Tribolium castaneum: one gene and its partners. The protein of the gene in region 1 purifies or fractionates together with the protein of each later gene. This does not show direct contact. Links are inferred from orthologs where the notes say so. Each region holds a gene or a part of one and is shown in the gene's direction. Other genes may lie near its edges. The genes, in order: Mcm3, Cdc45 and Psf2.

Region 1 (6,809 bases):
TTGTCGTGCTTCTTGGTCATCGTTATGTGAGCAATTCATTTAATTTACTACATTTTTTTCATAAGAAATTATCTATAAACAGTGCATGATAAAACACACTGTCCCTTTTGAGGTAAACTTGTGATAAGCCTCGAGATTCAAAAAAATATGTGTGGTATAGGGAGGAGGTGATCAATTTAATGTTTATTTAATTAATTGTCAAAAAAATAAATACTTGTAATAAAAGGGATCTAGTACAATATGCGAGGCAATATGGGACCTACGTATTATAAAAAATAAAATAAATAAAACTATTAGATGTAATTATATGATGAAGACAAATAACGTATGGAAAGAATTTTATCTTCCAAGAAAGAAGAAGCGAAAAATTAAAAATTAAATTATTGACATAGATAATACTGTTACTTGAAAGTTTATGATCAAGACGTATTTTTCATATTAGACAATGATAATCAACCTTTGTTTAAAGGTAAAGATTTAGCAGAAATATTGGGTTATGAAAAATCAACAAATGCTATAAGTAAAGACGTAGGTAGGTGTTGATTTTAAGAGAAAATTGATAGTCGTATTTTTTTGGAAATATGTTGTTTTTGCAGAAAAAGAAAAATATTAATCACAAATAATTTGCTTCAATTCATGGGATTTATTGAAGAAATAACGCGATTTTAAGAACTTTTTAAAGGACTAGGAAATCTCATACGAAGAAATAGATTATAAAAATGCTAAAGCAAATTTGTATAAATATATACAAAATGATTAAAAATTTTAAAGAATTAATAATGATGTTGAATAACAATAAGGCAAAAAAAAGTTAGGAAATATCATTTTAAATTAGAAGAATTGCTAGATAAATAGGAAACTAACGTTAACGAATATAATCTTTTAAGGCAATACATAATTATAAAATTAATGCTAATCCATTAAACCTGTTGGACTTTATAAATAAAAATAACTACTCCTATAAAATTAATTTGAGTACGTGGTTGACCGATATATGGTTTACGTTATTTAAAAGAAAAATATAATAATAACAAATGATCTTTTATGCTTTATACAATATGGAATTTCAGTGGGGGGTGGCTATCCCCCACTGAATTTACGCGATATTAAGAAAGATTTAAAGAAAATTTTAGAAAACTATAAAATAGAATACCAAATAATAAATTATGATAAGATTAAAAATGAATTATCATATTATAAAAAATTGATAACAAAATATATTATAAATATTTCGCCAAATAGTTAATTTAAATAAAACAATATGGATTTTATTGAGTGTTCGTAATATTAAATCCCTAATAATAACATTAAATACAAAAACGGATCAAGAAATTAAAGAATATTATATTACTTTGGAAGAAATATTTTATTCATATTTGGAATACACTAAAAAGTTTTATTTGAATATAGGAGAATCACTCGAAAAGATAGTCAGATAAAGCAAATTGAAACGATAATTGAAATTAAGAGAGATGATTAAAAATATTATCAAGTTAACCAAAGAGCATATAATAAATTGTATAATAGTTTTATAGCAAAGATTCGGTAATAAACAATATAACAACAATTGTGGTAAAGACATGTTTTCATTATAATTTAATCGATGATAATAATGTAATAATGATAATGTAATGTATATATATATATATATATTTTTTTTTGGAATGCAACTAACTTTGAGAGAAATTGTGTTGTTGATAGAATGAGTAGGTAAGTTTATTAATGGTCAAGCTTATTTGCCTGTAAAGTATGCTATTATAAAGTAACTGCGAAAGGCAATTAGTTAACTTTAACAAACTAGTTGAGTTTAATGAATAATTGGTATTCTGAATATAGGTATGCCTTTCTTCCGATAAATGAGATTATTCACTTACTTCCAAGTATAAAAAAAATACCTATTGTGCGATTTGGACCTAAGAATAGTGTTGTATCCACGATTTCGTGATACTTCAGAAAGGGGAAATATTAATATACTCGGTGTAAAATTCAACAGATTTATTCTCTACAAACTTCCAACAACTTACAACGTTACAACAATTTACTTTTAGCTCTACATCGCGTCTCCTTCCCTCATTTTTGTGACGGTCCTTTTTAAGAAGGAAAAACTACCTGCTCCCAGAAGGGGGGCGTCACGAGCGGTTAAGGATTGAGGGTTGCACATTTAACAGGAAAGTGAAAGTTGTACATTACAACAATAGAAACAACTTACAGTACGAGTCAGCGTTAAGCAGCCATTTTCTCTGCGATATTTAAAAACCTTTACAAAAACACAAATTCAGATAAGCAATTTTGCCTACCGTACAACACGTGTTACAACTTCCTAGTGATAACAGTATAATAAATATAATTATTCTAGTTATTATGTAATTACTGCCATGTTTTGGACGCGAAAACAATTACAATATAAAAACCACGTGGTCGTGGGTCAGGATTCAGTTATTTGATTTACTTTAATTTTAGACACAATCGTTGAAAATAAACATAATGTCAGACGAATTACATTTTACTTATAACATTTAATAAATATCAAGACAATCAAGACTTACCTGTTAATCGATGCACAACACGCTCACGACGCTCACACGCTGCTACAAGGTGTCAACAGCTAGACACTGTTCCCACATGACAGTTGACCAGACAATTGCTGAGAATAAGGGAATAAAAAATGTAGAAATTAAATGCAGTTAAGTTTTAATTTGTAATAGAAACACATTAAAACGGTCAGGAGATGTTCTGCAAATGTGATATGCAAGTCACTGTAACAGCTTATTGATGTTTTTATTATGATTTGTCTGGTCGATTGTAATGTTCATGGTGCCAGCTATCTGGCCACCCAGGCCCGACTTGGCAACACCGCTGTGGCTCTTTTCCCGCCAAAACTCCTCCCGTGTTTTCGCCCGTTATTACCCGCATTTCCAGTGTTAAGTGCCCCATTATGGACCCCCAGGAGCTAGACCAGCGCCTCCGCGACATGCAGCACGAGTACTTGGACTTCCTCGATGACGAGGTACGAATTGGTGGTGTTGCCTTCCCCCCGTGTTTTAACCCCAAATTCCCGTAGGAGGACCAAGGCAAGTACGCCACACTTGTTAAAAACATGGTTGCGGACCACAGTTTGCGGCTTGTGGTGAATGTCAATGATTTGCGCCGCAAAAACCCGGCCAGGGCTGCCGCCCTCCTCACTAACGCTTTTGAGGAGCATTCGGCGTTTCAGAAAGCCCTCAAAGAGTATGTTTACACAGTCGCGCACGACTATGCCAAGGAAAACGACGAGTTTTTCATCGCCTTTGAGGGGAGCTTCGGCAATAAGCATGTTACTCCAAGGAGTTTGACTTCGAGGTTTTTGGGGAATTTGGTCTGTGTTGAGGGGATTGTGACGAAATGTAGGACTTGTTTGCGTCTTTCTTGCGTTACCGGTTGGTTTTTAAGGCTCGTTGGTGCACCCCAAGGTCGTCCGGAGTGTCCACTTTTGTCCAGTAACGAAAAAAGTAATGGAAAGGAAATACACTGATTTGACTTCGTTAGATGCCTTCCCCACATCGTCGGTGTACCCCACTAAAGTCAGTCGTGTCTTTTTTGTATTTTTTATCAATTAATTTGAGTGGTTTAGGACGAGGATGGCAATTTATTGGAGACAGAATTTGGGCTTTCGGTGTATAAAGACCACCAAACTATTTCCATTCAGGAGATGCCTGAAAAGGCCCCCGCGGGGCAGTTGCCCCGTTCGGTTGATATAATCTGCGATAATGACCTTGTTGATAGGTGCAAACCCGGGGACCGCATACAAGTGGTGGGGAACTACCGGTGCCTTCCCAACAAACAGGGGAGCTTCACTAACGGCATTTTCCGGTATTTTTCCCATAATTATTAAGCAAAAACATAAAAAAATAATTGGGGCCAAATTTTAAAAAGCTGGTGATTTTGGTTTTGGAACTAGAATTGACAGGACGCCATAAAACAATCATTACATTACGAAAATGTGTTTTAAACAATAATATAGTCACGTAAACAACACACTTGATCCGACTTGGTGCCCCACTGTCTTTATTTTCATTCAAAAATAGTTAACAATTAGTGTGATTTAGTCATTTTTTTGCCACGGGATTAATGTTTGCAGCACTGTGGTGATTGCAAGTAACGTGTCCCAACTGTCAAAAGAAGCAAATCCTTCCATTTCACGTGAAGACGTCGCCAAATGTAAAAACTTGGCCAAATCGAACAAAAACGTCTTTGAATTATTAGCCAAGTCTTTGGCGCCGTCAATCCACGGCCACGAGTACATCAAGAAGGCGATCCTGTGCCTCCTTTTGGGCGGAGTCGAGAAGATCCTGCCCAATGGGACGCGCCTAAGAGGGGACATAAACGTGTTACTGATTGGCGATCCCAGCGTTGCTAAGTCACAGCTCCTCCGGTAAGTCGACTCGATTTGTGAATCGTTGATTGTGATTGGCAGTTGCCATGGAGATACGTGTTATGCACCGCCCCTCGGGCCATTCCCACCACTGGGCGTGGATCGTCGGGGGTTGGTCTAACCGCAGCGGTTACAACCGATCAGGAGACCGGCGAGAGGCGGTTAGAGGCCGGTGCGATGGTTTTGGCCGATCGTGGCGTCGTGTGCATTGATGAGTTCGACAAGATGTCGGATATGGACAGGACGGCCATTCATGAGGTCATGGAACAGGGGCGTGTCACTATTGCCAAGGCGGGGATTCACGCAAGTTTGAATGCCAGGTGCTCGGTTTTGGCGGCGGCCAATCCGGTTTACGGAAAGGTGGGGTTTGATTGGTCGGTTGCGAAAGCAGCGATTTGATTGGGTGATTTGTAGTATGATCAGTACAAGACGCCAATGGAAAACATCGGGTTGCAAGACTCGCTCCTGTCGCGGTTTGATTTGCTGTTCGTGATGTTGGATTCAGTGGATGAGGATCATGATTTGATGATTTCGGATCACGTGGTCAGGATGCACCGATATAGGTATTTTTTTTTAGTAGGCTTGTGCGGACTACGGAGGACTGTGTGTTAGGAGGCGGAACGAGATACAAAATCGTACCCAAAAAATATAGTTAATTAATTTAAATCTGCAAATTGAACTTCCACCTCCAAGGGGGTTAATAATATAAATAATAAATAATATGACTTTAAAATGACAGATACAGTTAATTAAAAATAAATAAGTAAAAAAAAATTAATAAAAAATTATAAATACTAATTTTGAACTTGATAAAAATATTAGAAATCCGGGTGAGCAAGATGGCGAAGTCCTGCCAATGGGCTCAAGCGTGGACATGTTGAGTACAATGCGCCCCGAGGAAGTCGACGACGACAAGGTCACCCCCATGTATGAAAAATACGACGCACTTCTACACGGTGAAAGTCGCAAAAAAACCGACAAAATCCTAAGTGTGGATTTCATGCGTAAATACATCCATTTCGTGAAAATCCTCAAACCGACACTAACCGAACAAGCGTCGGAAATCATCGCCGATGAGTACTCCAAACTCAGGTCGGAGGACGTCCTTGAAAATCACGTCGCCCGGGTAGGTTCCACTTATAGGTTTTTTTGGTATAGTCACTCGTCTTCGTCTCGTGCATAATTTTTTTTTCGAAGACACAACCTGTGACACCCCGTACGCTTGAAACCATGATCCGATTGGCCACAGCGCATGCCAAAGCCCGCATGTCTCGCACTGTTACCGCACAAGACGCCTACGCAGCAATTGAATTGGTGCAATATGCCTATTTCAAAAAAGTGCTCGAGAAGGAGAAAAAACGGCGAAGAAACGCACAATCCGAGTCCGAAAATGAAGAAATGGAGGAGGAATCACAAAGAACGAAGAAATCGCGGCAAGAAGTGGAAGAAAGTGAGGAAGAAATGGAGACTGAAACAATTGAAATTGACTCAACGCCTGCCATGATCACGAGTGAGAGGCTGACTCAGTTTCGGTCAAGTCTCGACAGGGCTTTCCGGGACAACAGGGCGCAGTCTCTAAGTCTTGCCCGCATCCGCGACTCCGTCAACACTGACAATATAGCCCCCTTCAGCCAAGGCGAAATCCGAGCCGCAATTGACCAAATGACTGAAGCCAACCAAGTGATGTTGGCGGACGGGATCGTATTTCTCATCTAATTGTAACAATTAATTAAATAAAAACTGCGATTTTTTTAATAAAAAATTGGTTTTATTTCAATATCTCCTGCGGTTCCTGTGATTATTATTATTCCAGTTGGGCCTATGGTTGTGGTTGTGATTATGATTGTCGTACCTTTGGTAGGGCGTCTGCCGGTGGGGCCTGTTGTGCTGGTAGGGGTTCCTGTACATGTCTCCAGGGCTGGGCTGCTGAACATTTTGGCCCTTCGGTTTTATGATGATCCTGCGGTCGAAAAGGGGGGTACCGTCAAGTAGGCGCACGGCGTAACTAACGGAGCACTCGTGTTTGACTGTAACGAAGCCGTAGTTTGTTTTACGGCCGCTTTTGTCGGTTGGGATTCGGACGCGCTCTAAGGGGGCCACTTGCAGAAATAACTCCCACAGGAGCTCTTCGGTCACTTTCTCCGATAGGTTGCCGCACCAGAGGGTGCGTGTTTGGTCGTCCATGGCGTTTTGTGGGTTTTATTTGGAAAAAATTGGGGTTTGTTTATGCCACATAACCTCAAACGTCACGCGCGCAAGCGCCAATTCTTCGAGGCGCCAACTGTGCCACTTGCTTATCTTTGATCATTTAGAATTTTTTCTTTTGCCTTGTTTTCGTATAATAAAATTATTTTTTTTTAATTAACGCTTAAAGAACAGTGCCAATTTTTTATTTTAA
Region 2 (5,303 bases), on another chromosome or scaffold:
AGGATGTGCCAAAAAGGTAAGACATACTTAATAAGTCAAACGGCTTATAAATTATGTTTAATTTTATTTATAAAGCTCATGCTTATACTTTTCAATGATTCTCCCTTAAAAAAGATCCAAGGTGGGTGGCGGCAACAAGGTGGGCTCATTCTCAACTTGCAGGTTGCCCTTATCGCAGAGCCAGCAGGCGTTCGAATCAATGGATCTCCAACTACGTAAAGAATTCCACCAAAGTATTGAAAAATTATCGGAAAAATACAACTTAGAAGATTTAGTTTTTACCTCATTTGTGTTACAATATGGCTACCGGAATAAATATTGTGCGTCTGACATTGTGTACGCCATGTTTGCAATTTTGGAGTCATCGGTGATTTATCATTTTGATAATTCTCTCACATAAATAGCTGTTTTTAGCCGAAGGAAACGCCAGAAGAGTGTTTTAATTCGGCACTTGATTGCCTCACTCGTAATAAAAAAGACGTAGTACAAAAAGCAATAGAACGTGCAAAGATAATCACAAAGACGATTTTTAAGACTGTACAAGCGGCCATTGATATGAAACAAATTATCACAGCCGGGAATTTTGTTTATTACATCATACAAGAAGTGAGTTGAATTGTTAGTCAAGTTGTTTGATTTTAATTTTTGTTTTATAGGGTTGTTTAGACTGGTATATGTTTTCAAACCAATATATTTTGTTATTGTTGGCACAATTTATATTACGGGCTTATGTGTCAATGTCACGGAATCGTAAAGCCCCTGACTTGCCTTTAATTATTTCAGCACCAAAAAATCTAGATTTAGGGACGTGTGTTATTTTGGGGATTCCACCGCTGAGGCAAAATTCACCCAAAAAGTAACTAAACTAAACGTACAGCCGCCCAAAAAGAAAATGACGCGACCATAAACCAATCCCATCATAAATCCTTTAATTTGCTGTTTAATATGTTTTTTAAAGTAAAAGGTTTTGTTGCAAAATAATTGATTTATCGCGGAAAGAAAAAAATTAAGAAAGGATTGAGTTCGAAAATCTTAAAGCAAAGTTTTAAAGCTTCAAGTTTTCTTAAAGTTATAATTTTTCATTTCCAAAAAATTTGTGGCAATTCAATTTAAAAAAGAGATTATTTTTTGTGGGTTCGCTTTTTTGAATTCAACAACTTATAAAAATTAAACAGATACAAAATGCAGTGACAATTTAACTACTTAAATAATTTATGAATTGGAAATGGTATTGTAAATAAAATGAAATAATAATTGGGCATTTAGAACCGGTTAACTTTACAGAAAGCGAAATTAAAACTTAATTCGGAATAAAACTAATTCGACATTAAGTTGCCACTGAAAATAGATTGACAAATGTAAAGTTAATCTCAGAAAAATTTTTATTGCAATTAAAATGTTCTGTAAACCGACTCTTGAACTTATTTTGCATTAATGAACTAATAATTTAAATTTGCAAACAAATCGACAATTTTTCTGCCCTCTTAAAGGGTCAAAACGTCGTGACAAACTTGATTTTTTTTAATCTTTCATTTGTTTTAAAAAAAATTATAAATGGTTATCAGTTTGAAGAAGAATTGGAAAAATTTGGTCTTAAGTTATCTCTTGTGGTGACTGTGGTCTTGTGTAGGTGTTGTTAAATATTTCCAGTGAACCTTATTTGCAGTAATGGTCAAAATTTTAATCATGGTATTTCCATAAATGAAATACTTTAATGTTCATTGATAACTTTTTTATTCTGGTTACACTAATTGAAACATTTAATAAACAAAAATTTTAATAAAACCTTTTTTGTGGTTAATAATTAAAACGATTAAAAGTACAGACATCTTTACGTGAAATTTGAAATACAATTGTATTACTATAATTTTGTTTTCTATTTTGTTTTATGAACAATTTATGGACAGTTTTATGGATATTTTTCAACTTTTAATACAGTTAGAGCTTTAAAATTTTGTATATCATTTAAATCGACCATTCTGAGTTCAACTAAATTGGTTTCAAAATGCCAAAATGCTTTCGGAACTACAAAAAATTGACGCCAAGTTTGAAATTTTTAAATAGTAACCACACATTCTTATTGCATATCTGAATTCACCTTCTCAAGCTGAGTAAAATTTACCCAAGTTGTTGGTACTTACCTGTTATAGTTTTCGATATATGTCAATTTTTTTGTTAAAATTTTTATTTGCAAGAGTTTATCTAAGAAATCACATCCCTTGAACCCTTTGCGATAAAGTGAATAATTTTTTTGCAATTGATAACCGAAGGTTTGCAGAGCTTTCTAGAATTTTCGAAATTGTCAACTGTCAAAATTCATGGCTAGTATGATTTTTCAAAATGGTTCTCAAAAAACTGCTATTAACTCTGTTTTTTCAACTCGAACGACCCCCTTTTTTTAATGGCAATCGAAAGAATATCCATATTTATGGTGACTTTTATCAACCCGTCCTATACCTATTTCATACAGTTTTTGAAAAAAATCCCAAAAACGGATTTTACTTTTTAATTTTCATAGTTAATCAAGTAGACCAGTAAAATGGTCAATAATTGTCAAACTTCAATATTTTATTTAGTTTTTAGCTGGTTCATTATCCAATAAGCAACAAAACTGAAAAGTAACTCAGTCAGTCTGCCATCGGATTTGGAACTTCTTGAACGAAAATGGTGAACAAATCGAACATTTGTTTTAATTAATAGCACAATTTTGTCGTATTTTTCGAAAGTTTACTTGATTAAACATGAAAATAATGAGCTAAAATTCAGTTTTTTGCGATTATTTCAAAAACTGTAAGACATAGATATAGAAGATGTTAATAAAAGTCTGCATAACAATTGATGTTTTTTTTGACTGCCATCAATCATTTCATTAAAAAAACTCTTTTATAATCATTTTTTAATCATCTTTTTTAAAAAATCATATTAGCCTTGCAATTTGACAGTTGGTAATCCTAAAGACTTAAAAAGACTCTTTAAACTTTTGGCTATCAAATGCAAGATTATTCACTTATTGTAAAGGGTTCACGAGCTGTAATATTTTAAATGAACCCCCGCAAATGAAAATTTGTATAAAAAAATTGACATACGTCAAAAACTATGACAGATAAGTACTAACAACTGGGTACATGTTACTCAGTTTCAAGAAGCGAATTCAAAAATGCAATAAAAATAGGTGGTTACTATTTCAAATTTCAAAGTTGGCGCCAATTTCTTGTAGTTCCGGAAATTTTGTCATTTTGAAAATAATTTTGTTGAACTCATAATGGTCGATTGATTTAGATTGTATACAAAATCTTAAAGCTCTAGCTATATTAGAAGTTAAAAAGTTTATAATGTCGGCCCCAAAAGAATCAGCCTGTATAATTTGTAGCAGTGAGATTTTATAAATAATAATTATTTTTTAATTTAAAATATTTTTTGGACAACCGATAGCAAAGTGATCTTTCAGTCTTTAATGAAAATACTACACCGACAACAAAAAGAAATGATCTTTTTTTTAATTGTCACTTATTTTATTTTGCAACAAAAACTTTAATGAAATAAATAAATCTTCAATTTTTTTCATTAATTCGCAAAGAAATAAGGTTTTTTATGGACGCGTCGTTTTCTTTTTAGGCAGCTGTACAATTTGGTGATTTTATTTTTATATTGTGATTTTAGTAATTTAGGCCGGGCCTTTGAGGAAGCAGCTGAAAATATAAATTATGAAGTCTTGTCGGATTATTTTGACACTTCTTGTAAGTTAATTTTTTTGTTTGTTTGTCGAAAGTAGTGGATTTTTTCAGATTTTGAGATTAATATCAAGGACAGGACGAGGTTTTTTGACGCATTGACTGCACTTTTCGACAAATAAAATAGTGTAAATAATTTTTTTTATTTATTTTTCAATTGTATATAATTGTGTGAATTGACACTATTTTATAGGTAATTAAATGCTACAAAACAACAAACTGTACACTTTTGATTAACTCATCTACACTGCTACACCTTACACCACCTAACTCTGTTCCTCTCCCACTCGTTCGTTCAATTCGATGAATTTCACTTCGCCTTTTTGGAAGCGCTCGACGAAGTCGCTGACGGAGTCGACGGTGATTTCCACGCCGTACTCCATGACGGCGAAGCGTCGGTTGGGGATGTCGATGCCAACGAGGAGGGGCACCACGTCATCGAGACCGATCAAGTCGCGGAGAATGTCGCTGGTTTCGGAGTCGAGCCCGATGAGGAACTGGAGGTAGTGGTCGTCCTCGCAGTTGGAGAAGAAGTCCTCAGGGGCTGAGTTGAAGTTGATGTTGTGCTTCTTGTAGTAGGAGTCGGCGGCTGGGGACAGGACCGATTCTGCGAACTGGAGTTCGGTCTCTTCGCCGTCTGGGAAATAAAAGTTTGTAAAAAGATAAAAATAATTGTTAAAAAATTACTGTTCTTAACATACGAGTGAACATTATATACAGGATGAATCTTTTAGGGCCTACATTACAAATTTTTTAACTTCTAATATAGCTGGAGTTTAAAAATTTTGCATACGATCCAATCTGAGTTCAACTAAATATTTCCGAAGTAGTTGAGCTTTCTCATCTACAAAAAATGGCGCCAAGTTTAAAATTTTAAATAGTAACCACACATTTTTATTGCATACTTGAATTTACCCTCTCAAGCTGAGTAAAATTTACCCAAGTTGTTTGTACTTACTTATCTGTTATAGTTTTTGACATATATGTAAATTTTTTTGTTAACATTTTTTTTGCAAATGTTTATCTCAAATATCACAGCCCTTGAACCCTTTGCGATAAGTGAAGGTCTGAAGAGTCTTCTAGATTTTTCAAAATTGTCGACTGTCAAAATTCATGGCTAGTAGGATCTTTCCACAATGGTTATCAAAAAACTGCTATATCTTAATTTTTCAAATGGCACGTCCTGACTGTGACTTTTATCAATGCGTCCGATACCTATGTCTTACCGTTTTTGAAAAAATCACAAAAAACGGATTTTAGTTGGTAATTTTCATAGTTAATCAAGTAGACCTTGCAAAATGGTCAACAATTGTCAAACTTCAATATCTTATTTAGTTTTTAGGTGAGGTTCATTATCGAATAAGTAGTAAAATTATAATATTTAATTATAGTTTATTATAACTTAGTGCTGTAAAGTAACTCGCTTAGTCTGCCATTGAATTTTGAACTGTTTGAATGAAAATCGTAAACAAATTGGATATTTTTTTTTAGTTAATAGCACAATTTTATCGAATTCCTCGAAAGTTTACTTGATTAAAAATGAAAGTAATGAGCTAAAATTCTGTTTATTGC
Region 3 (5,256 bases), on another chromosome or scaffold:
ATGAGGGAACAATACAAACCTCCACGATTTGAAGGCCAGTCAATCGGACTCTATCAATTCAGTGAACCTTTCAATAGTGTTTTGTACACCTATAGTATGCTACTTTTAGTTTCTTTGCCCAAATTACCAACAGGTTGGTCGCTTCGCATGTTAACAGGGTGGTACTGGCTTTATTGTTTGCTACTTGTGGTAGCTTATAGGGCCAGTATGACTGCTATTTTAGCACGACCAACTCCTCGGTACTTCGGTCCAACTGCATTTTCCTTTTTTTAAATAAAATTGTAGCGTCACAATTGACACTCTTCAAGAATTGGTAAACAGTCGGTTGAAATGCGGCGGTTGGGGCGAAATAAATCGCCAGTTTTTTAAATCATCTCTCGACCCAATAACGAAATTAATCGGCGAAAATTTCGAACTAGTTAACGATTCAAACGAAGCAGTTGATCGTGTGGCACAAGGCGTGTTCGCATTTTACGAAAACAGCTATTACCTGAAGGAAGCTTTAGTAAAAAGACAATTACGATTTCAAATCGCTAGGACCACTCAGAATCAGTCCGAAAGAGAAATGCGCGATATTGCACGAGAGGATCGTAATTTGCATATAATGACGGACTGTGTCATCAAAATGCCCATTTCGATCGGTGAGATTAAACTAAACCGGAAAAATGCTTGACTGGGAGTTTTGCAGGGTTGCAGAAAAACTCACCGATTAAACCACGAGTTGATAAATATATTAGGCGAGTTTTGGAAGCTGGATTGATTAAAAAGTGGTTGCAAGACGTGATGGCGTCGATTTTAAACGCCGAAGTACAAAGTACGCAAGAGGAAATGAAAGCGATCATGAACATGAAAAAGTTTTTTGGGGCAATTGTAGCTCTATTTATTGGTTATTTCATCAGTGTTGTCGTATTAATTGTGGAGAATGTTTACTTTCATTTCTTTGTCAAAAGGAATCCGCATTACAACAAATACACCAGAAGCATTCATCACGTAAAAAAAGCGGAGTAATTATTACATGCATTCTTTTAGACTGTTCTTGTACTTCATTACTTTATTAGGAAATTTCATTTGACTTTCTGAGAGATAACAACAACATTAGTACTAACCACGATATAGAGACAGACAGGTAAACCAACTCGCTATTATAATTGATTCTAACGCTGGAGCAAGTTGATAGACGGCAGCACGGTAGACTGGGACTGTCACAATTTCACAAATTTTCTTTGTTTTTTATAAAAAAAATGATGCGAAATTAAAAAATGTTATCTCAGCACCCAAGTTAGTCATCTTGTAACAACTTCTGCTTTTTTCGCGCTGAAATAATAATATTTTCTGAATAGTTCTAAACTTCGGTTCGATGCATTTTCGGCCGCGAAAGACATCGAAACATTGAAGTCAGAATAAATGCTTTCCAGAAAAAAAACTCCACTACCATTCGGTGCTGGCATCCTTCAGGTATTAATTGTTCTTCATAAATGTCGTATTTTTAACAACGTGATGCGTGTATCTTTTTTCTTGTAAACATTGTGACAGTCCCAGTCTACGCTGGTGCCATCTGTCAGATAAAATAAAAGCTCCAACTTGCTCCACATTTTGGTTTGCGCCCGACAATGGAAAATAAGGGAAGTTGGTTCACCAGGACTATCTATACATGGTGGTACTAACTGTGACAACTGTCAAAAGCAGCGTATTGGTGTAAAGTCAAAGCCCTCTTGACAATTTTTCCAAAAGTGTGATTACAGGCATTTATCAAACTTTTTGAGCAAAATAATCCTTCCTATTAAGAGTTGATTGAAATGTTTCACATCTTTGTCTTTGTCGTTTTCTCTTTGAAGTCACGCAAAATTTTCCCCATCTGCCCCCCTCAAAAATCTAAGTTGTGTCGTTAAGGGTAACTGTGACAAAAAGACCTATGACGATTCTGTGGGTGTAAGACAGCGCGCAACCCCTTATATATTAGTATAGTCATGTATAGTATAATTTATTAAATAAAAAACACGGTTTTCGCACTTTATTTTTAAATGATTTGTGAACTTGGCATTATTCAATTTCGCGCATGCGCCTTACTTTTGGCGCCAAAATTATTGAGGTTATTCAAACGTGAAAAATCTTCGACCATTGAAAAATGGATCCTGAAGAGGTTGAATTTTTGGGTGAGAAACAACTAGTCACGATTGTCCCACTGACCACAGACGATGACTACCTTAAACTAATTTCGGGTGATTTTGGCCCATTTCGTATGGGTATGCCTGTTAAAGTACCGTTATGGGTTGCTGTCCAATTAAAGCGACAAAAACATTGCAAAATACAACCCCCTGATTGGATGGAAATCGAGACTTTGGAGGCGATTAAAAACGAAGAGAAACTTTCTAGGTGTGAGTACTTTTGTTAGCCTTTAAGTGCAACAAAATTGTAGGAACTTTACGAAAATGCCCAGTAAGTTCTACATGGTCGAAGCGAAACAAATTTTGGGGTGCGCCTCTGATGATATTTCACGTGCGGATGAAATAAGAACGATAATTAAAGATATTTGGGACATAAGAATGTCAAAATTGAGGTCTTCAATTGATTTATTGGTTCGGAATAATGGGGCTTCTGCTGTCGTTACAAACTTAACTTTGATGGAAATTAATTCGATTAGACCGATTTTACCACACACTTTAGATCAGATACGCCGAATGAAAAACGTGAGTGATTTTTTCTAGTAAAAAAGGGAGGTTATGTGAATTTTTTAGTTTAAACCGTTTCACGGCTGGCGTTCCCAGGACACATCCTTTGTATCAGATTCACGGAGCTCCACTAGTTTTCACTCTTGATTATGTATAAAATCCAAATAAAATCTTTGAAATCTGTCTTCTGTCAAATTATTAAGGTTATGTCACCCGAAAGTTGGGTTATGTATTTTTAGAAAATTTTACATTTTTGTAAATAGAAATGTTTTAAATTGTTACAATGTCAGAGACTGAGCTTCAGGATGAAGAGCGCGAAGTTCTGTCGTCAATTTACGACGGAGACGACTGTTTTAAGCAGATTTCGTCCAACACCTTCCAATATAAAGTGAGTCATTTGGGGGCCCAAAACAATTACAATAACCATTTTTTCAGTATGGGGAGAGTGATGCTACGAAATCATTTCTATTGGAAATACAATGGGGTGAAAAGTACCCCAACGCAGCACCTAAAGTGAACATGGACACTTTTTACAATAAACACATGTAAGTGCTCCCCTTTGTTCAAAGTTCGTTCTCAAGTCGTGTGTTTAGTATCAAGCCTTTGAAAGACAAGATTGTGTCTGCGGTGGAAGAGGAGGCGCAACAGTATTTAGGAATGTCAATGACTTACTCCTTGTTTGAATTTATCAAAGAAAAATTTGAGGTGCTTATGTTGGAACAACCGGAAGAAATTGCGGAAACGGTTGAGAAATCACCTAGCCCCGAACTTGAACAAGTTAGTAATTTCATATTTAGTTATCCATGGAAATGAAAAGGCATTACTTTGATTGAACCATTTGTGGTAAATGTCAAAATAGTGGTGGTTTTAATTAATTTCATTTACATGGATGACTAGATGACGACTTTTTTTTATTATACGATATATTTTTTTTTAAAGGCGACGAGTCAGAAAGTTCCAAAAAAGGAACACTTGACCAAAGCCCAAAAGCGCCGTCAGTGGAATCGAATTGACAATAAAGGGGAGAAGCCCCGAGGCTGGAATTGGGTCGATATTATCAAACATTTATCGCAAACAGGGCCTAAAGAACCAACACCCACGTCATAAATAACTGTATTTTTATTAAAAATATATATTTTTTATCAAAAACTGTTATTCATTCAACCATAAAAACTGTATAAAAATATTTATAATGACTTTTTATCAAAGTCTTTCCATTGCGCTCGCCACTCGTCCACGTAAAGGCAGTGACTGTCGGTTTTCCACCCTAAAAAAAAAGAAAATTGTTGGTAATGAATTAATTTCAATTCTTTTTACCATTGACTTGCAGCGCTGTGAAAAACATTTCGATTTCTTGTCCCACAAATTCGGTAAAAGCTTGTAGGAGGGGTGGGGGGAGATTACTAGCTATGTTATTATTTTGGTAGTTTTTCATAAAAGTACTCAATCTGGTGATTGGAGTGGAATGATGTAATTGTCGCTTTGAATAAATTTCCTACAAAAAAAATCTAAATTTTTTTGGTGATTTAAATAACTACATACAAGTGTAACTCTATTATAAATACAAGTGGCAAGTCCAAGTAATACTGCATGATAAAAGCCTGCTATAACTTCTTGAGGCGTTTCACCTTTTTCAAAAGTTACATAAATGGTTCTCGTTTTTAAATCAGGTACAATCAGATATTTTTTGTCTTTGTAAATTTCCGTCAAACTTTTCAATTCATCTGAATTATAACGTCGCAAAGTCTTTCCAAGTGCCTGTCCCAGAACTATCTTAAAACCACAAAACTTCTCAACGCTTGTCCCAAATCCCAAAAAAACTGATTCAGTTTTATTGATACATTCAGGGCCTAGCACTGCATTAACAGCCAGATAACTCTTCAATATCAAGGTCATTCGTAAATTATTCAAATTCTTGAAAATGAGGGCAGTGACGGCTTGATAATTCGAATACAAGTGGAGAAAAATCAAGAGAAATGTCACAATCCATTGAGTGGTGGCATCCGTAAAGTAATTAATTAGAAAAATTCCAGTGAAACTTGCAATCAAGTTGACGAGTGTCTCTTGGCTGCCATCTTTGGCGGCAATCTCCGCCATGTTGCCTTTAATCGCTTGGTGATTGGTTATGGAAGCACGAGTGGCGCCACCTGCAACTCCCACCTCAAGTTTATTGTGACAATTTAGTTGAAACACCCTATATCATATATTTACCATCGCTTTCATTAGTGTTGAAAGACAAAGAATTTCAGTGGAGAGGTGCGTGACGTGTGGTATTGACAGTTCTAGAATCATGGCTCCATCATTTAATAAGTCGGCGAAAAGTCGCCACTTTTTACAATTGGAGTCTAGGGATTTTCTGTAAAAATATAGTAACAGTTGGTAGGGGTATTTTTGGTTTTGGTGGGTGGTTTACCCTTTCCACCATGCGAAGATGATTCGTCCGACCATTCCAGTGCCGTCTTTCATGATCCAGGTGATGGTGGCAGAAAGGGCCGAAGCCTCGGCACTGCCCACCCCCACACCCTTTAAAATCGCCTGCGTGGTAAAAATCCCAGTGATAGTACTACAAAATGCTTGGACCGTGTCC

Evidence for each region.
Region 2: the proteins of Mcm3 (region 1) and Cdc45 purify together in Drosophila melanogaster (affinity purification with western blotting; 5 studies listed by BioGRID, with this or other methods). This does not show direct contact. The link is inferred for Tribolium castaneum from reciprocal best matches to the Drosophila melanogaster genes Mcm3 and Cdc45.
Region 3: the proteins of Mcm3 (region 1) and Psf2 purify together in Drosophila melanogaster (affinity purification with western blotting; 3 studies listed by BioGRID, with this or other methods). This does not show direct contact. The link is inferred for Tribolium castaneum from reciprocal best matches to the Drosophila melanogaster genes Mcm3 and Psf2.

Annotation. Positions count from the first base shown.
Region 1 is NC_087400.1:2,691,866-2,698,674, reverse strand, and holds Mcm3 (DNA replication licensing factor Mcm3), read left to right. Parts: upstream 1-2,806; 5' UTR 2,807-2,935; coding exon 2,936-3,007; intron 3,008-3,061; coding exon 3,062-3,383; intron 3,384-3,429; coding exon 3,430-3,560; intron 3,561-3,610; coding exon 3,611-3,849; intron 3,850-4,117; coding exon 4,118-4,411; intron 4,412-4,464; coding exon 4,465-4,771; intron 4,772-4,825; coding exon 4,826-4,974; intron 4,975-5,233; coding exon 5,234-5,537; intron 5,538-5,608; coding exon 5,609-6,127; 3' UTR 6,128-6,173; downstream 6,174-6,809. Other genes in the region: RNA-binding protein 7, read right to left, coding at 6,185-6,595. UniProt on the Drosophila melanogaster protein: Acts as a component of the Mcm2-7 complex (Mcm complex) (Mcm complex) which is the putative replicative helicase essential for 'once per cell cycle' DNA replication initiation and elongation in eukaryotic cells.
Region 2 is NC_087401.1:7,771,833-7,777,135, reverse strand, and holds the end of Cdc45 (cell division control protein 45 homolog), read left to right. Parts: intron 1-162; coding exon 163-367; intron 368-414; coding exon 415-606; intron 607-656; coding exon 657-856; intron 857-3,660; coding exon 3,661-3,737; intron 3,738-3,785; coding exon 3,786-3,853; 3' UTR 3,854-3,950; downstream 3,951-5,303. Other genes in the region: nucleoredoxin, read right to left, coding at 3,998-4,368.
Region 3 is NC_087395.1:26,562,548-26,567,803, reverse strand, and holds Psf2 (probable DNA replication complex GINS protein PSF2), read left to right. Parts: upstream 1-2,118; 5' UTR 2,119-2,125; coding exon 2,126-2,373; intron 2,374-2,416; coding exon 2,417-2,687; intron 2,688-2,735; coding exon 2,736-2,816; 3' UTR 2,817-2,852; downstream 2,853-5,256. Other genes in the region: glutamate receptor ionotropic, kainate glr-3, read left to right, coding at 1-239, 286-641, 689-1,004, 1,059-1,080; RWD domain-containing protein 4, read left to right, coding at 2,953-3,057, 3,105-3,214, 3,263-3,446, 3,609-3,776; RUS family member 1, read right to left, coding at 3,857-3,936, 3,987-4,164, 4,212-4,829, 4,881-5,025, 5,083-5,256. UniProt on the Drosophila melanogaster protein: The GINS complex plays an essential role in the initiation of DNA replication.